2 linked regions of the Cricetulus griseus genome follow. The protein of the gene in region 2 interacts with the protein of the main gene of each other region in a biochemical or structural test. Links are inferred from orthologs where the notes say so. Each region holds a gene or a part of one and is shown on either strand. Other genes may lie near its edges. The genes, in order: Atox1 and Atp7b.

Region 1 (15,692 bases), on a different chromosome or scaffold from region 2:
TTCAGCTTTCTCATCTCTTGGGAATAGGAAGAGTTTCCTGGCTTATGGAAGCATTGTAGCTATCAAACAAGACAGTGTACAAGGTGTTTAGAAGAAGGCCTGGCACATCAGAGATAATTAGATATTAGTAATCAGGAATCCAGACACCAGTGTCCAAAGACACAATGTTCTCTAGAAGAACTTCTCCTCTTCCATTCCCACTGTTCCAGTTCTAGAGGGTCTGTTAAAGAATTGTACCACTTACCGGCTCTCTGAAGTAATACTGTATGTAATAATACATAATACATAATACAGCGTGTTGCCGTAGAACATTAATATATACGTCAGAGGATCCATTTTGCTTGTTTTCTGTTACAGCATCTCACACTGTAACTCAGGTTGGCCTATAAGTGAATATGTAGCCCAACTGATCCTTGTAGCAATCCTCCTACGTAGGCCTCCCAAGTGTTAATTTGGGGCCTGTGTATGCTCTGCCATTCTTCCATGACCCTTTTGTAAGAGGCACTGGGGAGACATCCAGGGATGGAGCAGGTCTTGAGATAGTCCTGTGAAGACTGGATCACCCTATCCATTAGGCAGAACTTTCTGTCATCCTCAGGTGTAAACTGCAGAGTTTGTAGGCAGAGGTGTAGGGAGTTCTGAGTTGGAGTGGAGTGTTGGCCTCCTGTGAGCTGCCCACCCCCCCACCTCTGTACTGTGAAAGACTTCCTTGTTAGGGTCTTCAGTTTGGAGCTCAGATAACTGTTGACTTTAGATCCCTGAGCAGCAATTACTTATCTTCTGAAACCCCCTTCAGAGATTCTTCTCAGAGTCAGTTTGTGGAGGATGGGCTGTTATAAAACCAACAAGATTTCCCTGGAGCAAAGAAAGCCTCTCTAGGGCTCCTGCCTTTGCACCCATGGCCTCATCACCTTAGTGACCTCCCAGCAAGAGGAAATGAATAGTTCTGTTTTCAAGCTAGGAAAATACTGCAGAAAGGAGTTTGAGGGTGGTAGGATGGGTCAGCTGATAAGGATATTTGTAGCAAGCCTGATAGCCTCTGACATCCACACTTACTCAATGGCACACACTCACACATGCAAATAAGTGGATAAGTATAGTATACTTATTATCTTTTAGGTTTATTTGTGTGAGCGAGAGTGCATGCGCACCATTTATGTGCAGAGATAGAAGAGCTTCAGATTCCCTGGAGTTGGAGATACAGGTGGTTGTAGTTCAGGGAACCAAACTCAGAACTTCTGGGAAAGTACAAGTAGTCTTAACTACTGAGCTGTCTCTCTAGCCCTATTTATTATTTGAAATGAAATATTTTTTATTATTTATTTAAAAATTAGTTGTTTTGTTATTGGGGGGGTGGGGAGATTGAGACAGGGTTTCTCTGTGTAGCCCTGGTTGTCCTGGAACTCACTCTGTAGACCTCTGGCCTCGAACTCAGAGGTCCGCCTGCCTCTGCCTCCTGAGTACTGGGATTGAAGGCATGCACCTGGCTTTTATTTGCTTGCTTGTTTAGGTTTTTCCGGGCAGGGTTTTTCTGTAGCTTTGGAGACTGTTATGGAGCTCGCTCAGTAGACCAGGCTGGCCTCGAACTCACAAAGATCTAACTGTCTCTGCCTCCCGAGTGCTAGGACTAAAGGCATGCACTGCCTAGTTCCTGCTTTTTTTTTTTTAATTATATGTATATGTGTTTGTCTGTGTGGGTATGTGTACATAAGTGTAGGTGCCTGTGGAGTCCAGAAAAAAGCATCAGATCCCCTGGAGTTAAGAGTTACAGGCTGTTGTGAACCTGATAATGTAGATGCTGGGATTCAAACTTAGGTCCTTTGGAAAAGCAGTATGTGTTCTTAACTGCTGAGCCATCTCTCCAGCCCCCAAATGTAATTTTCAATATCATGTGCTTGTAGCAAGTGTAGCCTAGTTTATTTGGTAGTGCTGGAGATTGAGCCTAGGGCCTTAGGTCATGGCAGGCAAGCTTTATACCACTGAGCTACAATCCTTCAGAAGGTAATAGTGCTAGCTGCTCTTGCAGAGGAGCCAAGTCCAATTCCTGTCACCACAGAGCAGCTCACAGCTACCTCTAATCCAGTTCCAGGGGATGCTACATATCTGAGTTCAGGGAAGTCCTGGTGTGCACAAACTCATGAAGGTACACACATATACACATAAAAAGAATGAGTAAATTTTTTTTTTTTTTTTAAGAAGTATGCTGGATACAGCGGTGCATGACTTTAATCCCATCACTCAAGAGGCAGAGGCTGGCAGATCTGTGTAAGTTTGTGGCCAGCCTGGTCTACATATAGGGAGTTTCAGACCAGCCAGAACCTGATGCCACAAGTGGTGTGTGCCCAAACATGGTGCATTAAAAACATTGCATGAAATTACCTTCAGTCTGTATGTATAAATATGATTTGTGTTTAGACTCTTCCCATTCCCAAGATATCTCATTATGTGTATGCAAATATCCTCTAATTAGGGACATTTCTGCTCCCAAGCACTCAGGTAAGGGATGCTCAGCCTGTCTTAGAGCAATTTTGATGAGCTTCATGGAGAAAGGTGGGCACTGAATTTGAGTATGTTGTTGGGCACTTGTTTATACAGTACTTGGGATTCTGAGGCAGGAAAATCGTTTAAGGCCCAGGGTGGACTGCATAGTGAGTTCCAGGCTAGCCTGGTCTACATTAATGAGATCTTGTTCTCAAAGCAGCACCTACCAAAAAAACAAAACAAAACACCACCAAAAGAAGGGAGAGATAGTCGTTGTTTTGTTATTGTTTGCAGTGCTATTACTGGTGGTTGGGGTCTGGGCTGGGTGTTTATATTTTTTAGCATCTCATTCAAAGAATTAAAATGAATTAAAGGTGTGTTCCACCACCACCCAGCTAGTGCAAGTGATTTTAATCATATGCATACCCAATTATGCATAGGCATAGGTGGCAAATAAGGAATTCTCTCTAAAATTTCACTTTGAGGACAACTTGCTTCATTTTCCATGCACTCCAAAACAGTCTAAGCCTGATCAGTCCCTTGCTAGTAGATTCCGGATGGTGGTTTAGGATGTTTGAATGGAAATGGGAAAATTGGGGATTGCTGAGGGGAGTAACTTATTTCCAATGCTTAAAGCAAGTGTGGGGGTCAGTCTTGGGTTGCTAACAGGTTGCTAGGTTCATGGTCAAGAGACAGGTGTGTATAGTCCAAGCCATTCCTTATGCTTGGCTGTCTCAGTACTGGGAAGTAAATCCCAGGGCCTTGCACATGCCAGGCAAGCAATATACCACTGAATTACATTCCCATGGCCTGAGGAAAAAATTACATTGTTTTTCAAAAGGAAGAGAGAAATGGAAGAAAGTAATTACTTTCACCTAGAGGCACCTAGTCCCATGATCTTATTGACTATCTATTGTCCTTTAGTTATCCATTGTCCTTTAATACTTATCCCCAAACCTAGAGTCAGGACCTGGGAGTGGCTAAGCAGAGTGACTAGGCTTGGCTTAGGGTCTCAGGGAACAACAGTGTAGTCCAGAAGCTTGCCCAGGCTGTTGTACTCCTTGACTTTGACCTTGGAGACTTTGTTCCTCACCAGATGGACCAAGGGTTGAATAGTAAAGTGTCTTTAGTATGGCAGCTAGCTTGTTCCAGAGTGGCCCAAGAAGGGAGCAGGGCAGAAGCTGATATTGTGACCAGCTTAGTCACATAACGGTACTCCAGCCTTATGTTGAATACACACAGGCTTACACTTCGATGTTATAGAATGAACTCTCAAGGGCATAAATACAAGGAGGCAGAGAAGATGGAGTGGAGGTCACGGTGGAGCTGGCTGCCATGTCAAACCCTGTGTTTGTCCCATTCTCCAGCATGGAGAAGGGACTGGTACCTCATGAGTTAAGCTACTGAGGTCATACAACTTGCAAGTGTTGGAGCCCAGATGTTGTCATTTCCAGTTATTGTGAAGGAAGGGATTATTGGCACAGTTCTTCTCTGAAAAAACCAAAGGCCCAGAAGTTGTCCGGTGATCATGTTGGTCATCCACTCACTCCCCTGTGCCTGGTGCTGTTCCCAGTATTTGGGGTGCAACAGTGAATATTTGTACTTGAACAGAAGCATAGTCTTGTGTACCCTTGCCTGCCTTGACTTGTTAGATATCATGGTGATCCAGGACCTCAGGAACCTGGGATTCCCTTATGTCTGCCTCCAGTGTGCTGGGGACCCTGGGAAATCCTTCTGCTACCTTTGAGCATGAGGTACTTGAATCAGAGCAGTGGTGGCCACATACCTGAGTAACCTGCCTGCTGGCATAATCGATGTCCCCATCCAGGCTGCTGAGCAGACCTACAGCCTGTGTAGAGTCCCTGGTGACTCCAATGTAGAAAATAATGTTCTGATATGGAAACAGGTCCCAGATTAGTTCTGCTGGGAGTGGGGTAACCTGTGGCTGAGTCCCCTGGTCCTGAGGCGAAGCCCACAGCTCACTCATGAAGCAGTAACATTGTGGGAGGATGGGAAAAGAGCTTCTCCCACAGACCTGGATCTGTTCATCCTATACCAGACCTTGCAAAAGGTATCGTAGAGATTGTCTCTGTTGGTACAGCCTGTGACATACAGAAACCCTGCATCCCCCCCTCTTATCTGTTGACTAGACTGGGATCACAGACAGACTTCCAGTGAGACTGTGCCCATTCTCTGCTCCCTGCCAGCCCCTGACTAGCCCTCAGACAATGTATGGGTCACTGCAGCGCCTGGCTCATAATCTCCCTTTCTTGCAGAAGCACGAGTTTTCCGTGGATATGAGCTGTGAAGGATGTGCTGAAGCCGTCTCCCGAGTCCTCAACAAGCTGGGAGGTGAGCATCTGTCCGTTGGAGAGAGGATGGGGAGATGGTTACATGGGAGTTATGTTCAGATACATGAGGCCTACAAGGATTGACTGCTGGTCAGCTGGTACTGAAGTGTGTGGAGGGCCTAGTGCTCACGTTGGCCTCTGCTCAGTGGCTTATGTGGAGATGTCTTGTACCTCACTGCAGCCACTTCAAGTTTCTTTCGTTCACTACACTCCTCCCCTCCTAGTTTATTCTTTCTTTCTTTCTTTATTTTTTAAGACAAAGCCTTGCTAAGTAGGCCTGGCTGTCCTGGAATACACACCATATAGATTAGGCTGCTTCTAAATTTGTGATAACCTGCCTCTGCCTTCTAAATGCTGGAATTACAGACATGTGCCACTGTGCCACCATATGTTTACAACTCCATTTTGTTCATTTTTTCACTCCTCCCCCTCCATCTCCGCTCCTCCCTCTCCCCTCCCTCTTCAGGGTCTCTGTAGAGCCCAGGCTGGTCATGAACTCCACCATCCAACCTCTGCTTGAGATGCAGGCACATACCACCAATGAGCAGTGGCTGTCTTCCTTTTATGAAGGCAGGAACTATTCAGAGAGTTCAATGACTTGACTGGATTCACAGAGCCAGCAGGGCAGAACTGGGATCTGGCTTTACAGCATCCAGCTCCAGAGTCCTTGAGGTGGTGGTTAGTACGTTGGTGATCTCTAGTGTGATATTTGGATTAACAACAGCCAGGCAGGGAGATGCTTTCCAGTAAACCAGAAGTCCAGGAGGATCAAAAGTTTAAGGCCAGCCTGAACAATTTAGGGAGAACTTATCTCAAAGTAAAAATGACCACAGGAGGGAGGGGGTATAGCTCAGAAGTCAAGTGCTTGCATAGCAAGTGTGACATTCTAGATCTAATCCACAGTACTACAATAAAATAAAAATAATAAGTTTAAGCCAGGCATTGCATTGGTGGTACATGCCTTTAATCCCAGCACTCAGGAGGCAGAGGCAGGCAGATCTCTGAGTTTGAGGCCAGCCTGGTCTACAGAGTGAGTTCTAGGACAGGCTCCAAAACAATACAGAGAAACCCTGTCTCGAAAAACCAAACCAAACAAAATAATAATACTAACAAGTTTATAAAAGCAAAGCAAAGTTGGGTGTGGCAGCTCACATCTGTAATCCCAGCAATTGGGAGACAAACTAGGCATTGCCTGGACTACAGAGTGGTACCCTATCTCTACAGATCATAAATAAAACCTAGGTAACAATACCACTGCATGTTGAGACTGCCCACATATCGTCAGTCCACAGAGTGGGACTTTACGAGGTGGAGAGGGGTTGATGACATCAGTGCCCAAGGGGAAGGGCCTTGCCCAAGTCCCACATTGAGAGTGAGTCAGTGACACAGTGAGTCGTCTGAGCTTTGTAAGCTAGAATATCTCCTTTTATGTTTTGTTTTTGTTTTTAAGACAGGGTCTCCCATTGTAGTCCTGGCTAGCCTAGAACTCACTATGAATACCCCAGAGTAGGCTTCAAACTGTTTCATAGGTGTGTCCAGGCAGGCTTGGGTGCACTGACTATAGAATGGTAACAGCATTGGGCAGGCAGAACTGATCCCCTGTCCTTGGAAAGATTAAGTCCATGAGCAGATGCAGAGACCCACACACTGGGAAGACTGGGGAGCTGTTAAAAAACAAGGGACAAAACCGGGCCTGTCATCACAGGAAACCGAGACAGGAAAATCATAAGCTCGGGCCTCCCTGATGTGTAGATCAAGTTCAAGGCTACGCTGGGTAACTTAGACTGCCTTAAAATAAAAAGTATAAAAAAGGCCTGGGGCTGAAACTCAGAGTGTTTGCTTGGCATGTTTGATTCCCTGGGTACCAGTAGTACAAAAACAGGGGGGAAACGGTTGTAGGGGAGGACGGGTCTTCAGTGGTAGGATACACATGTGAGACCCGAAGGGAGAGGGGGCAGGGTGTACAAGCACTTGATGACTCAGTGGGTAAGGGTGTTTGCTGCCAAACTTGTTTTAACTCCCAGGACCCATATGGAAGGAGAGTGCTGTCTCCAAGTTGTCCTCTGACCTTAACACATGCGTTTTTGTTTTGTTTTCTTTTTTTTTTCTCACACTCACACACATGCATACACTCAACACATGCTCTCATTTATGCTCACACTCACACACACTCACCCTCTCACATGCTCACACATGCTCATATACAGATTCTTTCACATACTTGCTAACAGATTCACACATGCTCTCACTAAAATAAATGTAACAAGAATTTGAAAGAAAGGGGCTGGAGAAAGAGTTGAGCACTTGTTGCCCTTGCAAAAGATCCTGGTTCAATTCTCAGCACCATATGGAGGCTCACAACCATCTGTAACTCTAGTTCCAGGGGATCCAAGGGATCCAATGCTCTCTTCTGACCTCCATGAGTACCACACATATGTGGTACACAGATACACATGCAAGGAAAACACACACACACACACACACACACACACACACACACACACACACACACATATGTAAATCTGGGGCTGGAGAAATGGCTCCATGGTTAAGAGCATGTTCTTCTCTTGCAGAGGACCTAGCACCTACATCTCATGGCTCACAACCACTCACAACTCCAGATCCCATAACCTCTGCCCTTTAGGGCACCAGCACTCTTGAACATGCCCACACAGAGAGCCATACACATATACATAGTTAAAAAATCATTTCAAATAAAATTATAAAGAAAGGGAGGGAGGTGGGCTCTGTATTTCTGAATTGGAAGGATAGCTTGAGCACAGGAAAGTGAGGTAGCGATGGCAGGTTTTGGGGTGGGAGAGCTGGATGGGAGGAGGGAAGGAAAGGGAGAAAAGAGAAAAGAACTCAGGGCTGAGAAATAGCTTAGTAGTGGAGTGCTTGCTTGATGCTTGGGGTCTTGAGTTCAATCCCTTACACACAGAGAAGAGCCTGTAGCAGAGCCTGCCTGCCTGCCTGCCTGCCTGCCATGCTCACAGTGCCTGAAACAGAAAGAGCTTGCTGCTGCCTGGCTCCAGAAGGGCCTGGTGTTACAGGGATAATTAAGGAGGATGACCTCTTTCTTCCAGTGAGTGGAAGGGTCCTGCTTCCCCCTCCCACATCCCAGTTTCCTTCTTCCTGTAGGAGTGCAGTTCAACATTGACTTGCCCAACAAGAAGGTCTGCATTGAGTCTGAGCACAACCCGGACACCCTGCTGGCAACCCTCAACAAAACAGGGAAAACCGTCTCCTACCTTGGCCCCAAGTAGCCAGGACCTGGTGAGTCCCTCTGGATGTGCTGAAGGGGTAGGTGGGTGAGGCTCCAGCCTTTCTTGCACAAGCCTGTTGCTTCTCCAGGGGTTCCGTGGGTTGCAAATCCCTCATCTGAAATGCTTGGGCCCAGAAGCATTTCAGATTGCAATTTCTCTGGGTTTGGAATCTTCACCTAAACTCACCCATAGGGCATCCATAATAGGAAAACTCTAAATATTTTTGCCATCCAGTTGTCACTCAGGAAGTTCTCATTTTGGAACACACTGAAATTTGGGTTTCTGGATTCGAGGTGTTCAGCCCACTACCCCCCTATGGAAGGGTCACAAGTACATCATTATTGTCCAGTACAAACCAGAAGCTCAGGCGTCTTGGTGGCCACCAGTGAATAGACAGAGCTCCCATGTTATATCCCCAGGGTCCCTTTTGGGACTTGAGGGGCACCTTGCCTGGTCAGCAGGGTCTAAGTTTAGAGTATCTGACCTTCTTGGAATGGTGAGCCTCTTGCTTTGGTGAAGTGACTTCCCCTTCACAGTTGATGCCTGTGTTCTGAGTCTTGTACTCCTGTACAAGAGTTCATACTCAGGTGGGGTATTGATGGAGCAAACCTTTAAACCCAGCACTTGGGAGGTAGAGGCAGGCAGATCTCTGTGAGTTCAAGGCCAGCCTGGTCTAAAGAGCTAGTTCCAGGACAGCTTCCAAAGCTACACAGAAATCCTGTCTCAAAAACCAAAAAAAAAAAAAAAAAGTTCATGCTTACCCTGCCCTTTCCTTCGGCTTGGAGCTGGCTGCCCCTCTAGCCCAGCCTAGTGCAGAGTCAGTGACCCATCTAAGCTGACTTCCTTCCGCTTTACGGGTCCCAGGGAGGCAGGAAATGGCCCTGTGCCAGTGCCCTTCCCTCAAGAAGCATGACAGACCTCACCTGGCCACCCAACAGTCCTTCCCACTGTACCCAGCAGTCCTCCTTCCCTCTGCATTGCATCTGACCCATGAATTATGATGGCCACCTCTTTGGTGGTTTGTATCCTCTCTGGAACTGAGAAAAATGAGACCTGGTGAAGGGACATGACCTGACCAGAGCCCAGGCAGAGGCTGGTATGAGCTAGGCCTCCTGTGTGAGCATTCTCAAGTGATGGATAGAATATCACTGACCCTACAAGTGACTCATGAGAGCCCTTGGCAGGGGCCAGCTGTAATCACCTGGGGGTAGGAGGGTCCCCTTTGAGTATTGCCTCCCTCTTCCTCAAATGTGAGCATTTGAAACCCAAGCCATGTGTTCTGTGTTACATGGTGACATCCAGCAAATCAAAAGACATGGATGAGCAAGTTAACAGGAGGCTAAAGCAGGAGAGGAGGAACAAGAAGCCAAGGCTAATGTGGGTTACACAGAGACACCCTGTCTAAAAAAAAAAAAAAAAATTAAATAATAATAATAATAATAATAATAATGCCAGAAAGAGGGTTTAGCAGGTGAAGGTACCTGCTGCCAAGCCTGACAGCCTGAATTCCATCTCCAGGACCCACATGGTAGAGAGAACTGAATCTCTCAGGTTGTCTTCTGATTGCCACACATTCAACGCATGTGCGCAGATACACTAAGCTTAGACAGACAGACAGGAGCCATTGTTCCCCATGCCTCTTTAGTTCCTGGATTTGCTTCATGACCCAGGAACAACCAATGTGAACAGCAAGCAGTCTAGGGTTCAGGTGCCAACTCTATTCTCAGTCCAGGCATTTTTTATTTGCCTGAGACTTGATCTGTGAAGTGAGTGAACCCCTCCACTCTGTCCCACTGCCTTTTTGGGTCCCAGTGCAGCCTCTTTAAGGTTTGTCTTCTCTGGGATGATGACACCAGCAGTTTCTTCCATGCTTCAGACCTGCACATCCAGCATGGTCCCTGCATCCCTGGGTTTTGTGGACCAGGTGAGGGTGGACCACTGACTTCTGTCTCTTTCAAACAACCCTATTGTGTGTCGGACCTCCATGTATAGTTTTTCTTTGTTTGGGTTTAGTTTGTTTTATTTTTGAAAAATCATTTTTTGAAGCAGGGCCTCATTGTGTAGCACAGGCCATCTGGAATTTGCAACAATTCTGCCCTGGCCCCTCAAATGCTGTGATTCCTGGCGTGAGCCCCCATACCCAGCTTCTCCATATAAGATTGTATTTGAGGGCCAAGAAGATGGCCCATCAGGTAAAGACACCTGTGTGCAAACCTGGTGACCAGAGTTTGATCTCTAGAACCCACGTAAAGGTGGAAGGCGAGAGCAAACTCGTCCTCTGACCTCTACACCCACACAACACCCACACACACCACACTAATGAAAATGTTCTGTTTAATTTTGAAAAAAAAAAAAAAAACAAAGATTCTATTTGATAAGCATGATCTCTGTGGGGAAGGACTGGAAGGAAGAGTGGTCGTGTCAGCCTGCAGTTTGGACACATAGTCTAGACACAGAAACTCTTGCACATACAGTAGCCCCTGCTGACAGCAGTGTGACACTTCCAGCTTCACTTTGTGGCTTTTGTTATCAAGGTGAAAATGGAGTTGACATGATATAGTTAGCTGTGATTGTGGGTGCCATTCATTAACACTGTGTGCATTCACAGCGGAGCAGTCACACTGTGGTACCTCCTTCAGAACATTTTCATTATCTGAGGAAAACACCTCATGTCTGTCAAGCAGTGGTTGTCCATCACCCTCACTGCTTCCTCTGATGCCAGTCTGCTGCTTGCCACTCTGGGCTAGCCTGGAGACTTTCTACAAAAGGAATCCTACAGTGTATTTGTTTGCCTGCTTATTTGAAATAGAGTAGCCTAGGCTATCCCTGAACCAAAGATTTACTGAAAATGATCTTGAATTTCTGACCATCCTGTCTTCACCTCCCCAGGCTGGAATTACAGGCATGTATCACCATCATTATGCTTATTTTTGTTGTGCTATCGTTCTTGTTTTAAGGTTTCATGTAGCTCAGGCTAGCCTTGAGCTTCTACCTCCCCAGTGTTGGTATTACAGAAATCTGCCATCAAGCTCAGTTCTGACTTTTTATGGTGGGAGGTGTCAAACATGTTTAAGCACTATATATAGGGGTCAGCTCCTGCTCCTCACCCAGACCCAGAGTTAGCAGATCTAGTTACTTTGTAGCCTACAAAGTTTCACCTGGGCATACACTGATCACCATGGGCAGTACAGAGAGGAATCCTGAGATTGAGGTGCTATGTTTCCTATTCACAGTAGGTGGTGCCATTGATCTAATTTTCCCTCTCTCCTAGGCTGTTGATCTGGTCTCCTGGCAGATTTGGAACACCAACTTCTGTCCAGCTCAGCCATGCCCAGACAGACTCTCCCTTGCGGGCTCCCTGCCAGCTTCCTTGCAATAAAGTCAAGCTGCATTTGTTGAAGAAGTGTCTATTGCGTGTTCTTGGTACTGCTGGCTCACCTACAAGCTGCTGTTGTGTTTGCCTATGTTTCTAGAACCTCCCACTGGCAGTCAGGTGCCCATCTCTTGTCCACTCTCTGCTGTGTGATCTTGAGCAGCCCACTGCCCTCTTTGGGCCTTTCTGTAATGGGAATATCATTAGACCAGATCAATGATTTTCTTTCTTCTCACTACATAGACTCCATATTTGAAAAGCTATTAAGTGACTTGCATTTAAGAAATGAAACTCTGAAACAGTTAGATGGGAAGCTGCTGAAAAAAGGCTGCCCCAGCAGGGTTCAGCTCTAGTAACTCCTAGCTGGTCTACTTAACCTCTCAGCACTCAAAGCCTGAGAGAAAACCACACTTTTGGCAAATGATTGTGATGGTTGTGACAAAATGAACAAATTAGTGTGAACTATTTGGAGTAGAGAAATCCTCCGGCAAGCATCCACTACTTACTTTTATGTATTTCATGGATGGAGGCATGGCAACCCCTTAAAGGGCAGTGCCTTTACAGAGCTGCTTGGTGAAGCAAAGGACTGTTCTGGTTTGTGTAGCTTTAAGAAAAACAGGGAGGTATTACTGTTCCCTGCTGTGAGGCAGGGAACCAGAGAGATGCCAAGATGGACCCCAAGACCATGCAGGACACACTTGGTGTCTGATATGTCCTTGAATATTCTAGACAAATTTCAGAACATGGGGAGAATTGATCTGAACAAAGTCATTGCCTCATGACCTAGACCTGGGTGGGGGAGCTGGAAAAAGGAAACCACACCTCACAAAAGACGTGGCATCTTTTTGCCAAGCTACACTGACCAGAATTCCAGTAACTTAAGCCAGAAGAAAACCAAGTGGCTTTCTTCAAGTGACCATTGTGCATAGGCAGGTTTGTAACATGTTTGTTTCACTTGCTTTTATAAGACAGGGCATCACTGTGGCCTGGAACTCAGAAGCACCTCTGCCTCCCAAGTGCTTGGATTAATGACATGTACCACCATGCCCAAACCTTAAGATTTATTTATGAGTATGTATGTATCTTTGAGTGTGTGTAGGTACCTGAGGACACCAGAAGAGGACATTAGATCTCTTGGAGATAAAGGCAGTTGTGAGATCCCTAAGGTGGGTAAAGGAAGCTAAATGTGAATACCCTGGCATTTACTGGGCACTCAATTCTGCTGGACCTGGAACAAGATTAGCTCAGTCCTTAGCCAGCCATGACCTTGGACTAGTCAGTTAATCTCTCCTGTGGAAAGTTTTTTCATCTGGACAATCACAATGCTTTCACTCTAGGGAGCTTGGTAGCCAGAACCAAGACATCCTTTCACTCCTTAGCAGAGGCACTAGCCTAATGTGCTGAAACACAACCATGATACAGCACTCCCACAGTGAAGACAAAGGATCTGAGTGCAGGGCAGGCCTCAGATACAGAGTTTAAGGCTGCCTACCAAGTGTCAGGCCTTTGTGGTCCCTTAGGGCCCAAGGGCCTCTTCTTCCCAAGCCTCCTGTAGGTGTTTTTTAACCACTAGATGGCAGTATGCCTTGGATTTGGTCATCCTGAAGGACAAAATTAAGGAAGCACTGATCCCAACTAGAACAGAAGAGGCAAAGATCCCTCCAAGGAGTCCCTAGCCCTAAGATGCACCCCTATCTCAAGCCTGGTGTGTTTCCAATGAACTAGGCAGCCTGGACCAGCTCACCTCAAAACGGAACCCAAGTTTAATATCTTGTGTCTTCCTCAATTGTCATTTGAGACAGGGTCTCTACTGAACCTGGAGCTTGACAACTCCAGCTAGAGTGTCTAGCCAGTGATCGTCCACCTTGCTACCTTTCGTTTGGTTTGGATTTTTTTTTTTTTTTTTGAGACATGATGTTGCTGTGCAGATGGTCTCAACATATCCCCAGTTGCTGTTTTTTAAGATTTATTTTTTTAAGTGGGTGTATATGTGTTTCGGTCTGTTTGTCTGTGGATATGTGCCTTGAGTGCAGGTCACCTTAGAAGCCAGAGGCATTGGATCCCCTGGAGTTGGAGTTACAGGCAGTTGTGAGCCACCTGATGTGGGTACTGGGGATTGAACTCAAGTCCTTTGAAAGAGCAATGTGATCCCTTTAACCACTGAGCCATCTCTAGCCCCTGTTTATTGTGTTTTTGAGACATAGTCAAGGAGCACACTAAGTGGTCAAAGATGGCCTTAAATTTATGGACCTCCTGTCCCACGTGCTGGAATTGCAAGCATGCCCCACCATGCCTGGCTTATGCAATGCTGGGGATCAAACCTAGAACTTTGTGCATTCCAACCTAACCCCAGCCTTAGTGCAGGTTCCAATTTTTCAAAACTGCTCACTGTTGCCACCAAGTTTTCCCAAGGGCATAGGGAGACTCCTGTAGAATAGACCTCTGAGTCTGGAGAGAGAGTTCAGGGGTTAAGAGCACTGCTCTTCCAGAGGTCCTGAGTTCAATTCCCAGCACCCAACCACATGGTGGCTCACAACTATCTCTAGTAGTATCTGATGCCCTCTTCTGCCATAAAGGTGTACATGCAGATGGAGCACTATATGTGTGTGTGTGTGTGTGTGTGTATATAATGAAAAAAATCTTTTAAAAATATAGACTAGACCCTTCCAATCTGATGCACACACAACATGCAAGGCAAAGCAAACCACCAAACCAGGGCCTTGCACATGCAAGACAAGCACTACCACTAAACTGCTTCCCTAGCCCTGTTTGTGCATATGTATGTATTGCTTATATGTGTAGTTAAGCATGCCTGTGAGAGCATGAGGTCAGAGGAGGGGGGTCAAGTATCCTGCTGTATCACTCTATGCTTTTTCTCTTGTGACAGAGCTAAAATCTCACTGATTTTAGAGCTAGGCCGGCAGCCAGCAAGCCTAAACTACCCTGTCTGCACCTCCCATAGCACTAAGGATACAGCTGCATGCAACCATACCTGGCTTTTTATATGAGTGCTGGGATTCTAACTCAGGTTCTCCTGCTTGTGCAGCAAGCACCCTTACCCATGGAACCATCTCTCCAGCCCCGAATGTTTGCTTTTTAAGGAAGAATCTCACTGTAGCTCAGGTTGGCCTCCCAATTCAAGATTCTTTTGTCTCATCCTCCTGTGCTGGGATTATAGATGTGTGCCACTGCACCCAGCTTCGATTCAGTTTTATGGATTGGCTTTCCACCTGCAGCCAGTGTGTTTTGGACTTCAGCATTCACATTCTTCTCCTGCTACTGGGAGGTTGTGGCCCGTGGAAGGTGATGGTTTCTCCTGTGAAATTGTTTCCTCATCTGTATTGCTCATCATGGCTCCTGGGACAGTGAGGATTACCCATGATTCTTCATAATGTCAGTTCTACAAGGAGAGCATTGTCTTTCAGTTGGAAAACTAAAGGTTGATAATGAGGGGAGGGAGAGAGAGAGAGAATGAAGAGAATGAAAAAAAAAAAAAAAACAGTGGAGACTGGAGGGTTGTGCCTGTGCCATGTGGGAGGGGATCAGTCATTTGGGCCACCACCCTCTTCATGACATCTTTAATTAGTGCCCATCTCTTACACAGCCCAAGTCTGTTATTTCTTGGGAGTGTCCATCAGGGCTGCTTTTAGAATTTTGTGTTTTTGGTAGCTATGTCCACTTAGTTTATATAAATGAATCAAGATTACTTAATCTGTTGGCTTAAACTTTATCTGCGTGTGTGTGTGTATGTGTGTGTGTGTGTGTGTGTGTGTGTGTGTGTGTGTGTGTGTGTGTGTCCTGCTCTGGACAGCTTGGGAGAGGCTCCTGTGTAAAGTCCACCCTTTCCTTCAGCCTTCCTCATGCCTAGGGCTAGTGAATTGCAGCACATGGGGCATTAACCTAGCTCTTCCCAGTGGTGGTGCCACAGGGGGAGTCCTTCCTTTCTCCTCTCTGCCACCCTCTCTAGCTTCTGTCCCCATAAATACCATTCCCCATAAACATCCCAGATCAAACAACCTTGTATTAATGGAGCCTCTGGCCAATATTTTCTTTCTCGGTGCCATTACTTGTTTGTGACAGGATCTCAAGTACTCCAAGCTGGCTTTGAATTTGCTTTATAGCTAAAGATAACCTTGAACTCCTGATCTCTGCATCTTCACCTCCTGATTGCTGGAATTACATGTTTGTGCCACCATGCCCAGTCTCCTGGATGCCTGTTTA
Region 2 (16,471 bases):
TTTTTGTCACTAAGCCCCAGTTCCATCTTTGCAAACTATAGTCTGTGACAATTTCTGCAGCCTCCTTCTATCTGCTCACCTGTGCTTGCTCAGCTCTTTACTGAGGCTCCTCTTGCTCTCACTTTCCCCAGTGATCTTCGACACATCTGCAGCTGCCTGTGTCACTCTGTGTTAGTCAGGGGTCTCTAAGGGAACAGAACTGAAAGACTAAGTATATGAATTCAAGGATTTATTAGAGTGACTTACAGCCTTAGTAGGGGTTTCTAGAACAACCACAGGAACTGTGGTGGTTGAAGAATGTTCTCCAAAAGCTCATGTATTTGAATATGTGGTTCCTAGTGGGTGGAATTGTTTGGGAAGGACTTACGAGCTGTGGTCTTGGAGGAGGTGTGTCAGAGGAGCAGGACTAGGAGCTGTGGTCTTGGAGGAGGAGGTGTGTCAGAGGGGCAGGACTAGGAGCTGTGGCCATCAGAGGGGCAGGCCCTGACATTTCAAAAGACTTGGCACCATTCTCTGCCTCTCTCTGACTCCATGCTGTGGATTAAGATGTGAGCTTTCAGCTGTTTTCTGCCCCCATGCCTTTGTGCTACTAATATGGATTCTATCCCTGAAACCATGAGCGCTCAATGTTTCTTTTATAAGTTGCCTTGGTCATGGTGTTTGTCACAGCAATAGAAAAGTAACTAAGACAAGGACCTTAATGAGTATCTTGCAGCATCACACAAACTTGTTGGAAAGAAAAACTCACCAATCCCAAAATGCTCATTCCACATGGTATGCAGCCCAATTGTTGCTTCAGATAGGTAATTCTTCAATTCATCAAATGAAATGTTTATTTTAAATTCCACATTTTCTTGGACTCCCAAATTCTCAGATAGTTTTCTCAGCTGGCTTACTCGAAGCTCATCATCTTTGTTTCGACACCCTCCAATAAGGACAAGTTTAAGTGAAGGGTGTGACTCAGCTGCTTTCTCATTTAACATCTTAGCAAAGGCTTTGATCTGTAAAGCATGATTCTTTTCAGGCCTGAACTGGCCAATGGAAACCAGCAAATGTCCTGGGGTCACCTTTTTCTCACGTAAGGGGATGTCCAGAAATGTCTGCACATCACAAGGTGGATAAACAATGTTAGTGCAATGGCCAACTTTCCACAGTGAGAGAATATGGTTTAGTGTCCAAGAAGAATTCACCATGACTACATCACTGCAAGAACCAACAAGACCATAAACAAAAGCAAACAAATAGTAATAGATGAGCTTTGCTTTGCTGAGAAGAGCATTTCTGCTAATGAAAGCTGCATTATTAAATCCAGTGTTTTGATTCTTCACTACAGAGAGCATGTCAGTGCTGATAGTGGGGTAGTGGACATAGCTCCCAACTCGGCAGCCCCCTATGTATTTAAACAGAGGCAGTGTGAATGCATATCCCATTGAATCGATGTAAACATCAGGAACACGCTGTGTCAGAGCTTCCCAGCCAAGAAGAACAGATCCGAGGCTTTGGCCTAGCAATGTGAAGTGGGGATACCGAGAATCCTCCACAAGGTGGCGTTTCCTTAAGAAAACAAACTGCACTGGGTGAGTTAACTTGATGTTAAATCTTCTGACAGCACCTTCTAGTATCTGTTGACCACTGACATTAATGTCACCAGTATATACAACATAAACGGCTTCAGGATACCTGAAACAAAATGTAATTTAGGTTAAACCTAAGCCAAACATTACAATTTCCTCATAGTCACAAGCAAGCTTATTTTTATACTGAAAACATTTTCTACCCTTTTTCATTTACTGCATTTATACTACTGACTCTACCCTTCCTTGAGATTTTTACTCTTAATTTTTGAAATGACCATGTGCTGTAGTTTGATTGTCACCTGCAAATTCTGCAGTTGAAATCTAGTCTCTAGTTGAGTGGCACAAAAAGAAAGGGACTCAAAATGGGATTAATAGGAATTGTATCTTTTTAAATTTATTTTTTGCTGCTGAAGACTGAACCTTGTATAGGTGTAATGTTCACTTCACCCCTGAGCTACACTCAGACCCTTTGTGGTACCTTATAAGAGGACTAAAGGAGTCTGTTCACTCCATCACAACATCAAGATGCAGCAAGCAGTGGCTACATATGAAGTGAGTCACATCCTTTGGCTCTGGATTGTGGATTTCCCAACCTCTGGAATTACGAACAATAAATTTCTCTTGTTTATAAACCATCCAGTCTAAGGTATTATGCTACAGTCATTTGATGAGACTAAGATATCATGTCATCTAATTATTTGCCATTTCTTCTACTATGGGTTTTAAATGGAGCAAATTCCAACAGTAACTTCTGACATATGAATGAGGTTTTCACTTTTAGGAAATATTAAAAAATTTATTTTAAGTAGTTTAGCTAGAGAGCACTTGCTCATCATATACAAGGTCCTGAGTTCAACCTTTAGAACCACAGAAAATAAAAAAGCTAAAGTGTGTGTGTAGTGGGGGAGGAGTGCTGATAGAATGTGTTAGATCCCTTAGGGCTAGAGCAGCAAGCACTCCAAACTGCTAAGCCACCCTTCCAGCCTTGACAGAATCATAATTCTAAAGCATTACTTAGTATTTTCCCCCTTATTTGTAATACCTCCTTTAGAAATTAATTCCTGGCTCTGGAAACATGTCTTGTGGTCAAGAGTATTCGCTGCTCTTATAGATGACCTGGGTGCGGTTCCCAGTACCCACATGGCAGCTCATAAGGATCCAATGACCTCTGTGGGCAGTGCATGCATATCGAGCACTTTATACATGCAAGTAATAATAAGCATAAAATAAAAAATTATTTTAAAGTAGTTATAAACATATTGTTCCCTTTTTTGGTACCCCAATTTTCAGTCAGACTTCCTCAGTACTTAACTAATTCTAATGTAGCAAATTCTCTTAAACACATTATAAGTAACATACATATATATACACACACATATATACACACACACATATATATACACACACATAATTATATCCTGATTATACTAAACTACATTAATATTTATTAAATTACACAATAGTGTGTTTGTTTGTTTGTTTTTTTTTTTTCCGAGACAGGGTTTCTTTTTGTGTAGCTTTGGAGCCTATCCTGGCACTCGCTCTGGAGACCAGGCTGGCCTCGAACTCACAGAGATCCTCCTGTTTCTGCCTCCCGAGTGCTGGGATTAAAGGCGTGCGCCACCAACACCCAGCTCACAATAGTGTATTTTATACAGTGTATCCACACAAGTGTGAGGACCAGTGTTTACAACCCCTGAAGCCACATAAAAGTGGCAGCCATTGGGTCAGGTGGTGGCAGCGCCCACCTTTAATCCCAGTACTCGGGAGGCAGAGGCAGATGGATCTCTGTAAGTTCGAGGCCAACCTGGTCTACAGAGCAAGTTTCCAGGACAGGCTCCAAGGCTACAGAGAAACCCTGTCTTGAAAAACCAAAATGAAAAAAAAAAAAAAAAATAGTGGCAGCCGTGTGTAACCCCAGCACTCTGGAAGGCAGAGACATGGGATTCTCTGGGCGATTTGCAGGATTTCTGAGGTCCAGGTTCAGATACAGATCATGCTTCAATAAAAAGCAGAGAGCAACTGAGTACGACACACAGCATCAGCTCTGGGCCTCTACATGCATGAGCACAAAAGCATACACAAATGCTTGCCCAAACTATATGCTTATTTCATTTCTTGTAAAGATTGCAAATTTTTCTCAGTTAAAAGCATGCCAACTAAGGAAAAAGTTACTTGCATTTAAGACAATTTGGGGTTGTTTTTCTAAGGGGATCTGGGAATATGTTCTCACCTAGATAGGTTTCATACAAACCCCAGAGATTTTTATGTTTTTGCGTACTTTTACAAAATTATTTTCAGCTGTACATATTGGTGCACGCCTTTAATCTTTCCTTTAGAGGCAAAGGCAGGCAGATCTCTGTGGGTTTGAGGTCAGCCTGGTCTACATTCCAGGATAGCCAGAGCTATATAATGAGTCCCTGTCTTGATAAAACCAAGTAGAAATAAATAATTTTCTACACTGTTACCACACACAGACACACAAAGATCGTACCCCTTGCCCCCATATCTTATCACCTTCCCTGTCCTAACAAATCTTTTTTTTTTTCTACCTTCATGTGTTTTCTGGTGTGTGGGTATTTAACTAGGGTTGCCAGTGTGAGCACAAGTGGAGACTCACTTTTTTTTTCTTTAACAAGGGCAACTTACTAGTCCTACAGCACAGAGGACTGTAAGTCCCTCACCTCCAGCAAACATTAACTGCCTTTAGCTTCTCATGAATGGGTGGGCCCTTAGGAGTCCCTCTCCATCTAGGATGGGATGTTGAAGGGTCTAGTCTCATATAGGTTTTATTCATGTAGTTTTTAAAAAAAATAAAAATCTTTATGTGTGTTGGTACAAAGGTGTCAGATCCCCTAGAACCAGAGTTATAGACAGTTTAAAACTGCCTTGTGGGTGCTGGGATTTGAACATGGGTCCTCTAGAAGAGCAGTCAGTGCTCTTAACCGCTAAGCTATCTCTCCAGTCTCATGTAGCTTATCTGAGAAATAAGAGCATGTTTTAAAAGCTAGCCTTTTTTTCCTTTTGAGAGGTGTTTCTCCTTATGTTGCCCAGGCTGGCTTACAACTTCAGGGCTCAAATAATCCTCCCGCTTTAGCCTCTAGAGAAGGTGGGATGACAGCTGTGTAACACTGTGCCAAAACTAAAATTCACTATGCTCTTAGGAGACCAGCAGTGCAGTGTGTTAGCTAAGAAAGATGCATACCTACTTTTTCTGCAGGGCTTTCAAAGCGCACCAGAGAACTCTTTCTCCTCCACCGCCAGCATTGCAGTAAGGATGGAAAAATGCAACCACCATTTGTTCTTTTCCATTTTTGCTGGTTGAGACTGACTTTTTCTTTCTCTGTAGATGTCTCCTGACTATCCAAAGGACAATGACCAAACATACACACAGAACTCCACATATAATCAGTCCAGGAAAGAATAGTGAATAAAAAAATCTGAAATAAATAAAAGGTGAAAAATCAACCTGCTGTCAATTTAAAAATAAGGCTACAAATTACATATTTGCTTAATATCTTAGTATCAGAGAGAATTTCTGTAGCTTATAAGTCTGACAACAAAATATCCAATTATTGGATGGGGTTGGGGGTAGGTTGGGGATGGGAGAGGAGGGATGGGGGTGAGGGGAGGGAGAGGGACAAGGGACTTACATGTGAAACAAGCTTGATCCCTAACTTGAATAAATACATTTTAAAAAATGGATCAATAAAAAAGCTTCAACTGTTGGGGACAATGACAGACTCTTTAGTTTGAAGTAATAAAAGATTTTAATATTCTGGTGTAATAAAAAAATATCCAATTATTTTTAATACTCTTTCCTCCCCCTCCAGTGGTGACTGAATTCATTGCCTCATACATGCCAGGTAAACATTTAGTTCCTAGCCAATATTTACCCATATTTAAATTAAAAGGCTTTAAAGACAGGTAACTACAATCTAAAGTTATGGATTACTCATCAAATCACCGTTATAATGCAGAAAGTTAACCACTATAATGTACACAGTACACAGCTGGAGGCAACCCATACAGCAGGGGAAACAATAATGTGCTAGAGCAAATTAGCCTTTTGTTTTGTTTTTGTTACAGGGGTTCTGTGTAGCTTTGTAGACCAGGCTGATCTCAAACTCACAGAGATCCGCCTGCCTCTGCCTCCTGAGTGCTGGGATTAAAGGCGTGCGCCACCATCGAGGCAGCTGCTAGCTCTAAAATTTCAACCTGACAAAGTACAAAGGTGTTGACGGAACTTCAGTAGGCCATGATAAGTTAGGAACATCTTTTGAAATACGCACCTATAACAACAGTGCTAATCCCCGGGTGGTTAGCATTCCTATTTATTATTTCTATTCCCTAATTTTTACACAGAAAACGATATTTTATCTTTAAAATTGTATTCATAATTTAAACATCAAACGGGAAAGAGTAAGTCAACAGATGGTCAAGCAGCAGAGAATTAACCAAGCGGTTTATGAAGCAGAGAGAGAAGCGGCAACGACGGGTTAAGGAACCAGCTGCTCGGCCAGTAGCGAGGCAGGCGTAACATCCGGGGTAAACTGAGGCACGACGAAGACAGCTCTCCGGCACAGTCTAGCTGGGCTTCCCCAAGTACGTCCACCAAGGAGGGGACACCCCGTGAGTGCAGGCCACCAAGCTCCTCACCTCAGCAGCGTGTAAAGGCGCCAGCTCCCGGTGTCCGCCGCCATCTTGCCCACCCACAACCTTGCAGCCCGGAAGCGCTTGGCTGTTCTTCTTCTCTATTGGCTCCAGCGGAAGCGTGCGATATAGCCACGCCCCTCCTGCCAACACGCCTTCCTACGGGCTGCCAAATAGCCGCTTCCCACATGGGCCCGCCCACTTGGGCCGCACCACAGTGGTAATGGGCGTGGGGGAGCCGGGGGCGTGGCCTGTGATGGATAAGTGGGTTCCCCTGACCTCGACCCCCCTCCCCCCGCAACCTTCCAGTCTGGAAGCCCCCTTTCGGGCGTGCCGCCCCGCCCCCACCGCGGAACTGGCAGCCAGTTGGGACCCAATGGGAGGTTCGGGCGGGCGGCGAGCTGATCGCCCTGTACAGAGTCCACTCTTGCGGAGGTGGCGGCGGGTCCCCGGCGGCCGCAGTAGCGGGACGCGGGGTGGAGAGGGGGCTGCGCGGGAGCCGGCGTTCTGCGGCTGTGGCCCCGGGCTGCATCTCCTCCCCAGCGCACCGCGGACCTTGCTGCACCGGGTCCGCAGAGCCGGGGCTCGCTTGTCAGAGCCGTGTGGTCCCCAGGAACCGCTCGCAGATGCGCATCTTCGCGCCTCCTCTCCCTGGCTTGTAGAGTCGCTCTTCCCTCCCCTGACCGGGTGACCTTTGGGCTCCGGGATGGATCCCAGGAAGAAGTTGGCGTTTGTGGGGACTGTGCCTGAGCAGGAGAGGCAGGTCGCGGCTAAAGAGGCCAGTCAGAAAGTAAGTTTCCTTCCCCAGATCCGCGCGGTGTGCGCACCTGCCCGAAGCGCTTTCCTCCTCGGTTCCTCCGGGACTCGTGCCTGAGGACACGTTCCCCACAGAGCCCGGCTCTGGGGGTGGTCTGGGAGGAAAGCCGTCTAGATTGTGTGTGCCTCTGGTCCTCTGGCGTTCAACCTTTTCGAGACCGGCACTTTTCTGGGAGTTGAGCGTGGGGTTGCTGTGTAAAAGCGCTAGTTGCCCAGAACTAGTTATCTGGGGGTGGATTACTCGTCGCCTGGTTTCTCATAAGGTCTGCACCCAAGTTCTGTAGTTTACAGGCGTTCATTTGAGTAATACAAGCAGCTAATTAATTCAATCTCTTAAAAATGCAAACAGTACAGATATATTTAACAAGAAAAGCAGATCTGTTTTCCAGTTCTTTTTTTCACGTATGTCTCCTGTCCGCAAATATTACTGACACTTGTAGGTCTCAGGCATGTGAACAATTCTTGAAGGTTTGCGTGTTTGTTTGTTGCTTTAGAATATTTTGCCTTGCCTAATTGGAAGCACGTTTTATATTCTCCGACTTTTTCAGGTAAGTATATTTTGGAGATTATTTCACAAAGTGACATAGGTGTCCCCATAGTCCATTGGTGATTCCCTTGTGGGTGGTCCTGCTGGTTGCTTTCTTTCTTTCTTTCCCCTTTTAAGTTGACATGATCTTTGCACTTGAATCGTTTAAGTGTGTGTGTGTGTGTGTGTTTATTATGGAGGTCAGGGGCAACTTACTGGAGTTCTTTTTCCACCATGTGAACTGAACTCAGGTCATCAGGCTTAAAGACAGTGAGCCATCTTGCCTTATTTGTACTTGAATTAAAAAAAAACATTATTTATTTTATGTATGTATGGTGGGGGGAAGGTGATCAGGCTTGGTGACCAGTGACTTCACCCACAGAGCCATTCAGCTGGTCCTATATACTTGATGTATGTATGTATGTATGTATGTAGCAGCTTGGTCCTTTTGTACAGGTCTGTGAAGTTAATTTATCCAGCAGTTTTATTGAATGTCTCTTGTTAGTGAAATTCATTTAGATTCTGGTGTGTAGAAATAAAAAGGAGAGTTGGTTAACGGGTGGGTAGAGAGAGAGAGAGGCTGGTGAGTAGGTAATTCTTAGGGTGTGAAAACAGCATTTGATCCATGGCATGAAGACAGCACATACTGGGTAGGGGTGGCCAGAGCAGAGGAGGAGACATGTCCTATCTTTTGCCCTGTCCCCATGAGAGAGCAAAGTCTTTATCTAACCAGATGAGATTCAAGACCTGTGCCTCTCCTTGGAGCGGTTGGTTAACTGCTCTGGCCCATGTTGACCTCACCCTCTTGTGAATTACACTGATAATGTCGTTAGCCAAAGTCACAGCTGACTATGTGCTACATGGTGTATTTTAATTTCTCTGTGTTCACTCTCTTATTAAATTCTCACAACCCATTCCCCTTTCTGTCTTTTTTTCTGGTTTTTTTTTTTTTTTTTTTTTTTTTTTTTTTTTTTTTTGCGGTTTAGAAAATCAAATCCATTTTATGTAGGTCTTTTGCTCTTGATGCTTTGATATAGGCTTTGTTTTAATTTTATGCTAAAGACCTACTTAGGGGCCCTAGCATTCCACCAGTGACTACATCCCCAGCTCCAACCCTGGCATTTGCTGTTATCATTCTAGTACCATTTTTCTGCTGTCCAGCAATTGCCTTTTTGAGTACTGTGTAAGAAATGCTGAGGTCTGAGGATCAAGCTATGACTTAAGACCTTTTCTTTAGGGAAATTGCATTCTCATAGAATGGAGTAGGGAAGGTGATTGTAAACAGCAGGGTAGGTGTTGAGGGGCTCAAAGGTCCTTGGACTTGCAGAGAAGCACTAAGAAAACCAGGAATGTTAATGAAGCAGGGGTGTCTCCTCAGGGGGAAAGATTAAAATATAATATCTGAAAAATGTATATATGTGTGTGTGGAATATATATATATATATATATATATATATATATATCTCATCCAGAAAAGCTGAGAATGGATATTGCTAATGATCTGGTGACCTTTTTACTTTTTGCTATTTGTGGAGGTAGACCTCTCCCAAATTTCTCAGAACGATTATCCTAGACTCTTTAGATCTTTAGATCTCTAGATCTTTTAGATCTAAAGATCTTGAGATCTTGAGGTCTTTAGATCTCAGTGGAACCCACCTTGAGGGGGGAATGTCACATGTGTTTTATGGCCTGCTGACCTCTATGCTATCCCAGTCAAGAGACCACACTAGACTCCTGGCTGTTTAGCTATAGAACCCACCCTCATGGTCACATGTATCTTGCAAAGGTATTTCTATATAGTCACATCTTAAGCTCTGTTGTGTACTTGGATTGAAATGATTGTTGCTTGGAAATTTTTTCCCAAATGTGTTTTAAATATGCTGACAATGAACTGCCTGGCATTAGGTCCTTGTCAGCTTCCCTGCCTGGACACTGGATGGGGAAGCATAAGGACAAAGAAGACTGTTTTGGTAGGTGATCAGATAAGACTTCCAGAAGTTCCACTGGAATACAGATCCAAGTGATTCAGGTTTCAGGCCAGTGTTCTGGGCCGAAGGCAGAAAGTGTCCAAGTTCTTAGGCACACGTGTGATAATAGGAAATGAATATTTGATCTTTGTTCTGGGTTCCTGACCAGAGCCAAACCCTTGGGATTTCTTCAGGGAGAGTAATAGGAGCATGTTTTATTGTTCACAAGGAGAGCCTTTCAAAGTTACTGAGGTCTGTTAGGAGGCAGACCTTGATGTGCTTTTAGGTGGCTTGAGAATTGGGTCTGGTCCCCAGAGAAACCAGCCATGTGGTTTGGGTGTTAGAACCCTTTCTCTCACCCCTCCCATGAGGTGAGAGACTGAAGACTAGTCACAAATGACTAATGATTTTATTAACCCTGTCTATGAAATGGAATCTCCATGAAACTCCTAAATGATGAGTTTGGGGAGCTTTCAGGAAGTAAACCTTGTGAAGATTCTGGGTGTGTGGGTGGCCTGTCTGCAGAAGGCATTGAACCCCTTGCTCTATATATCTCTTCCACTGGGCTGTTCTTGTGCTTCGCCCTTTGTTATGTATGTCCTGTGAACTGTTGTAGTGAACTATCTATCCCAAAGTTGTTCAAGACCCTGACTTATAGCTGGTCACTCAGATGGATGTTCAGGTGCCCATGCACAACAACACTTACTAGAATTAGTGACCAGCCTTTGCCCATGGGATCTGTGCTAACTTAAATGCACTGCTAGAACTGCAAAAGGCATCCAGGTCTTGTTGGTGGGGAAACTGAGGCAGCAGTTAAAGAACTTGATCAAGGAAGCTTGCTAATAAGAGCAAATTTAGTATTTGGTCCTAGGTCAGTCTTACCAGCTTTCTCCAAAACACACTGTCATTGGGACTTCATAGTACTTGGTCATAGCATCTGGTGTTACTGAACTAATGGTTTGGCTTAATTTCGCAACTCCTGGGATCAGACTTAACAACATTTCAAAAGCATATCCTTCACAGTATGCTTTCCCAGTGCAGAGTAGGTTGTTCAGCTGCTACTCCAGAGACCAGGGAAGTCCTAATAGCAATATAGGTGGTAGTTAGCTCTTAAGTGTATGGGTGGCATACAATTAGCCGGGCATGGTGGTGCACGCCTTTAATCCCAGCACTCGGGAGGCAGAGGCCGGCAGATCTTTGTGAGTTTGAGGCCAGCCTGGTCTACAGAGTTAGTTCTAGGACAGATAAACATAGAAACCCTGTCTCAAAAAAACAAAACAAAACAAAACAACAACAAAAAACCCAAAACAAAAAAATCCAAAAACCAAACAACAACAACAAAACGTCAAAACCAAACAAAACTCTACAGGTGGTATTGAAGGGAGTGAGAATATTTAATAATATAGTTCTATTCCTGAGATGGGGATCTTGGTATGTAGTGCTGGCTGGCCAACTACTTACTGTGTAGCTCAGGCTGGTCTAAAACTTACGACACCCTCCTACCCATTGCTGGAATTATAGGCACGAGTCACCATTGTGGGTTTCCTTCTTTTCCATAGTTTGTAAAGGTGTGCTTTAGTTGTTCAAGAATGAATGAATTATAGCATTATTTCACCCATTGTGTTTTCTTCAGGGGCCTCTCTGTGGGGTAGTAATTACCTGGTGATTTACTTGTATTATAGGTGTACACTACCAAGACTGGCTTTTTATTTTGTGTTTATTGTTTTCTTTATAGTTTTAGTTTCATTCATTCATTCATTCATTCATTCATTTTTTTTACAGATTTCTTTTATTTATTTTTAGATGGATGAGTGTTTTTTGCCTACATATATATCTGTGTACCATGTTAGTGCCTGGTGTCCCGAAGAGAGGTAGATCTCCTGTAACTAGAGTTACAGACAGTTGTGAGCTGCCATGTGGATACTGGGTATCAAATCCGGGTCCTCTGGAAGAGTAGCTAGAGCATTTAACTACTGAGCCAACTCTACAGCCCCGTAGCTGGATTTTAAATGCTTTACTGACAGTCATTTCAGAGGGTGACCATGGTGGTGACATGGTCGCTGCTCACTGATAACCACAGCACCAATATCAAGGACGTATCCTTGGTCAAGTGACTCGCTATTGTTCCGATATAAATGAGAAAAAAAAATGTTACCAGGTGAAAATCTGATAGTGCCTGTTAATGTTTATTTATTTGTCGTGATGTTGGGGATGGAGGCCTTATACACATTAGCTGCACCCTAACTCTTTTGTTTGTTAAACTAAGTTACAGAAGAAAATAGCAGTTCAAAGGTGGATGCAGCAGAGCAGAGTGGAATAGCCTTATTTTTCTTTGTGTGGCTAGGGGTATGTCTAGTGTAGTGATAAACACTGTGACCAAAAGCAACTTGGGGAGGAAGGGTTTATTCAGCTTACAGTCCCACATTACTGTGGAACACTGAGGGAAGTCAGGACAGGAACTCAAACAGGGCAGGAATCCAGAGGCAGGAGCTGATGCAGAGGCCATGGAGGGTGCTGCTTACTGGCTCATTCATCGTGGCTTGCTTTCTTATATCATCCATGGCCACGCACCCAGGGGTGGCACCACTCCCTATGGGATGGGTCTAACCACATCAATCATTAATTAAGAAAATGCCCCACAGGCTTGCCATAATTGAGTTTTCCTCTTCCAGAATGACTCTAGCCTGTGTTGAGTTGACATAAAGACCATCGGGGCAAGATGGAACCCAGGGCTTTGTGCTTGTACACAGAGCTAAACCCCTAGCTAAATAGTGATCAGAAATTGTGAAATCTGCCCTTTCAGAATGTAAGTTATGCTGGTGCCAAAAAGTCAGGCAACTGTGTAGCTGGCTCTGCTAGCAGTTTGTTTCTTATCTCAATGTGCCTTTGACTTGCCCTTTATCTATCTGGTTATGACCATAAAGACCGTCACCTTTTGTAGGAGGGACCCTTGGCTCAGTCTTGTCTCTCATTCTCAACAAGTGACTTCCCTTCTTACTTTAAGGAAACCACTGGGGGTGCTTTCTCCAGCTTTTCCTCCTGGCTCTACATGCCCTGCCCCCCACCAATTTTTATTTGGATCTACAACTCACCCCACCCCCTTTCCTTTTTTTTTTTTTTTTTTTGTTCTTTGAGACCAGGCCAGGTCCTGTAGGCTGGCCTTAAACTTACAGTCCTTCTGCCTTATCCCCCTTCATGTCACCATGCTGTACAAACTGCTTTTTCTCCTGACTTGGAATCAGAGGGCAGTTCAGCCTTCTTTTCAAAGGTCATGCTCGACCTTTGACCCTCCTGTCTACCTGTCTGGAATCTAGAGGACCGATTATCCTCTCCTAGCCTCCGCCTCACTCTGCCCATGAAGCCATCTATTGTGCTTTCGTTCAGAAGTCTCTCCGTTACCTTATGCCTTCCCCTAGCTATTTTATTTGTATAGCTATGTCCCTCCATAGAAAGAGTCTGCTGCGTTTCCTTGTTTCCATTCTTTGATCCCTTTGCATTTTCTCATTTTGTCAGTTATTGGATATGAAAGAAATACATATGAACATCTATATCCAGTTATAAAATGTAATACTTTAGGTTATGTCTCTGTACCTCACCCGACCTAAGAATAAGAATATTGGGACTGAGGAGATGGCTCGATGGGGAGAGAACCTTTGTGCAAGTGGAAGGACCTAGTTATTAGCACCCATGCAGGAAGCTGGGCATGGCAGTGGTTGCAGGTTAACCCAGCATTGTGGAAGGTAGGGGCAGAGACAGGCTGATAGGAATGGGCTGACCAGCCAGCCCAGCTAAAATGGCTAGCTTCCATTGCAGTGAGAGGGCCTGTCTTAAAGGAGAAGATGGAGCATGACAGTGGAAAACATCCCATGTCCTCCTCTCACATGCATGCACCATGTTCACAAGACATACACTTTTATCTCCTGTATTAGTCAGCGTTCTCTAGAGAAACAACTGATAGAACAGCCCCCCTCCCCCCATAAGGAGGATTTATTAGAGTGGGTTACAGACTGTGGTCCTATTACTCCAACACTGGCTGCCCCCCAGTGGAGAGGTCAAGAACCCAATAGTTGTTTTGTCCTCAAGGCTGGATATTTTAGGTCTACAGTATACATCAGAATCCTAAAGAAACACGCCCTAATACTAGTAAAGGAACAAACTTGCCATTGAGAGTGAGGGCAAGTGGACAAAGAGCAAGGACTTTCTTTTTCCATGTCCTTTATATAGGCTGCTGACCCGTCCCTCGAGTCTAGTCATTCAGGGTTCCGAAGGGGGGCTGCCTGAAAGAGTCATGGGCGAGAGAAGGGAAGGAGACCAAGTGGCGCAAAAGAGGGGACCAGAGTCCATCTGTGCAATTGTCAAGGTCTTGATTTATTGGGCTCAGTGTGAGCTTATATAGCCCTGCACCAAGGAAGTTGGGTAAGTGGGGAATAACAGGAAGGAACATCTGGTGTATGCTGGGGCCAGAGAATTCTTCTTATCAGCCGGAACATCTTTTCGTCTTCCCAGGAACAGCGAAAGCCCCAGGCCCTTTCTCGAAACAGAAGCAGTTAGCAGTTCCGTTTGGCCAAACCGTCTAATTACAGGTTATATGAGGCTCACAGAGCTGGTCTTAAGCCGCAAACTTAAAGGTCATAAAAGGACTTACAAAGATGGGCTTCAAACCCCATAAATTAGGGCCCATGGCCCTTAACATCTCCCCCTTATTTTTTCCTTAACAAAGGAGGGAGGTGAGACTAGGCCACAGGTAGCATTCTTAGGGGGTCTTTGTTCATGACCGTTAGTTCGACCTTGCCACCTCATTGACTTTACCCGTCTTTGGATGATAAAAATCCGACATCCAGGGGTCCCATGTCTTAGGTTAGTCTAGGAGGGAAGGAAGTTGCCCGTCGTGGAGGCGGCCATTTGTACCCGGGGCTACCAGTGTTGCATGCCTAGGGATGGCAAGTATGGCTCTAAAGCCTGTGACTAGACCTTTAACAGTTTAGAAAATTTAAGCCTCTCTTGATGGCCCAAGGGGTTGCCTGGTTCGCTCTGCTCGTCACGCTGCTCGTCGCCTGGGTTCTGGATCTGGTGATACTGTACGGAGACAAAATCTTTAGGGAGAAGTGAATCTATCTGACCTTTTATAAAGTGAGTTATTCTTTGGAAGGCCCATGCACCAAAAGAAATCAGCAGCAATAATCCTATAAGCGGTCCCAGGAGGGACGGTAGCAAATAGAAAGCCAGGGGGAGGTTGAAAACCAAAATTTTTATATCAGGACTCTTGTTGCTCTCTTTGTTTCTTTCTATCCTCTAGATTTTTCTTTATTTTTTCTATACTATCTTGTACTAACCCAGTTTTATCTTTATAAAAACAGCATTCCTCTTTAAGAGCTACACAGAGGCCGCCTTCTTTAAGAAAGACCAGGTTAAGACCTCTCCTATTTTGCAACACCATCTCAGATAGGGAGACCAGAGAGTCCTTTAAGTTTTGTAATCCTGTTTGTAATTCCTTTATATCTTTGTCCACTGCCATAGACAGTTGTGCATATTGCTGTTTGGAAGTTATCAGGGAAGCTAATCTTGTCCTGGCTTTAGCTGCCCCTAAGCCCAGCATGACAGCTAAGGTGACGGCTGAAATGGGCTCTCTCTTGTGACGGGGCCTTTCTTCCCAGCTAGGGAGCAGCTCCTCAGGGGCATGTACCGTTAGGGGGGGGGGGCAAGGTAGGAACTGAATGCCTGCAATTCCCTGATGAAGGGGAGGGGTGGAAGAATAACAGATCCAACAGTCCTCCATAAGGGAGTGACTGGCTTGATGAGGGGCCTGAACAGTAAGGTTAATTAAGGATAGAATAAGATCAGCGGAAGAGGGAGGTCCTGGGGGAAAAATGGTCAGGGGGGAATAGGAGGGGGTGGTCACAATAGTTGTGAAGCATTGGCAGCATCTCTGGCTCGGTTGAGGATCATCCAGGTGTAGTTGTAGATCTGATAAGGGCTTCCAGCAGCAACGGCAATCGAAGGTGGGAACGCACAAGTAGCCAAAAGACAGCATCTTTTATCTAGAATTAAGCAGAATTAGAAGGCTTCCCAGGGGCTTTCCCTGGGTGGATTATATAGTTTTAAAAGGCATTTAGGCAACCATCTAGCATTATTGTCCTGAGTATCAAAAATCCATGCATGTCCTTTTCCCCAAATGAGGACCGGATCTGGTCCGTGCCATTTGTAAGTTAGGGGATCTTTCCATAAGGCTTGAGCATAATTTTGAGCCATTGATGGATGCCAGAGGCGATCCTCGGCTGATTTTCCTGTAGCATCATACATGAGGAAATTTAGCACAGACAATGCATGGCATAGAACTCCTCCTCCTTAGTCAACCTGGTGGTTGCCCGCTCTCTGGAGGTAACCATATTGATGCCGAACTTAGTTCGGACACCTGATCGGCATAGCACACTACAGCCCCAAATTCCTGGACTCAAGTGATCTCCTGTCTCAGCCTCCCGAGTGCTGGGATTAAAGGCGTGCACCACCACTGCCTGTGCGTCCTGCTGGCTCAGGAGCCGCCCAAGCTGCAGGCTCGCCTCATGTCTCACCGCCGCTATAAAAGCTCGGAGGCAGGTGCTTTACTCCCCCCAAGTCAGCAGCATGCTGCGTCTCCAAAGGCCCAAAGGCCCAAAGGCCCAGCTGTCTTCGCCGCTATGAGCTCGGCAGGCAGGTTCACGCGCGCTGGCGTGGGACTAGGCCACACGGGCTGTTCCGGTAGCACCGGTCTCGGGAATTAAGCACAAAAAGTTTTGGAAAGCTTTGCTAGTATATCCAGACCCATTATCTGTTTTCATAGCTTTTGGCACTCCCATGTAAGCAAAACATCTTAAACAGTAACTTATAACATGCCTGGTGGGCTTCTCCTGTTTGTGGAGTGGCACATTTTTAACTTGCCAAACTCTGTAATGTGA

Evidence for each region.
Region 1: the proteins of Atp7b (region 2) and Atox1 form a complex in vitro, tested with the Homo sapiens proteins (3 studies listed by BioGRID and IntAct). The link is inferred for Cricetulus griseus from reciprocal best matches to the Homo sapiens genes ATP7B and ATOX1.

Annotation. Positions count from the first base shown.
Region 1 is NC_048600.1:69,627,571-69,643,262, reverse strand, and holds the end of Atox1 (copper transport protein ATOX1), read left to right. Parts: intron 1-4,757; coding exon 4,758-4,833; intron 4,834-7,973; coding exon 7,974-8,098; 3' UTR 8,099-8,108; intron 8,109-11,369; 3' UTR 11,370-11,498; downstream 11,499-15,692. UniProt on the Homo sapiens protein: Binds and deliver cytosolic copper to the copper ATPase proteins. May be important in cellular antioxidant defense.
Region 2 is NW_023276807.1:61,582,246-61,598,716, forward strand, and holds the start of Atp7b (copper-transporting ATPase 2), read left to right. Parts: upstream 1-6,936; coding exon 6,937-7,020; intron 7,021-16,471. Other genes in the region: Alg11 (GDP-Man:Man(3)GlcNAc(2)-PP-Dol alpha-1,2-mannosyltransferase), read right to left, coding at 749-1,680, 4,787-5,017, 6,237-6,280. UniProt on the Homo sapiens protein: Copper ion transmembrane transporter involved in the export of copper out of the cells. It is involved in copper homeostasis in the liver, where it ensures the efflux of copper from hepatocytes into the bile in response to copper overload.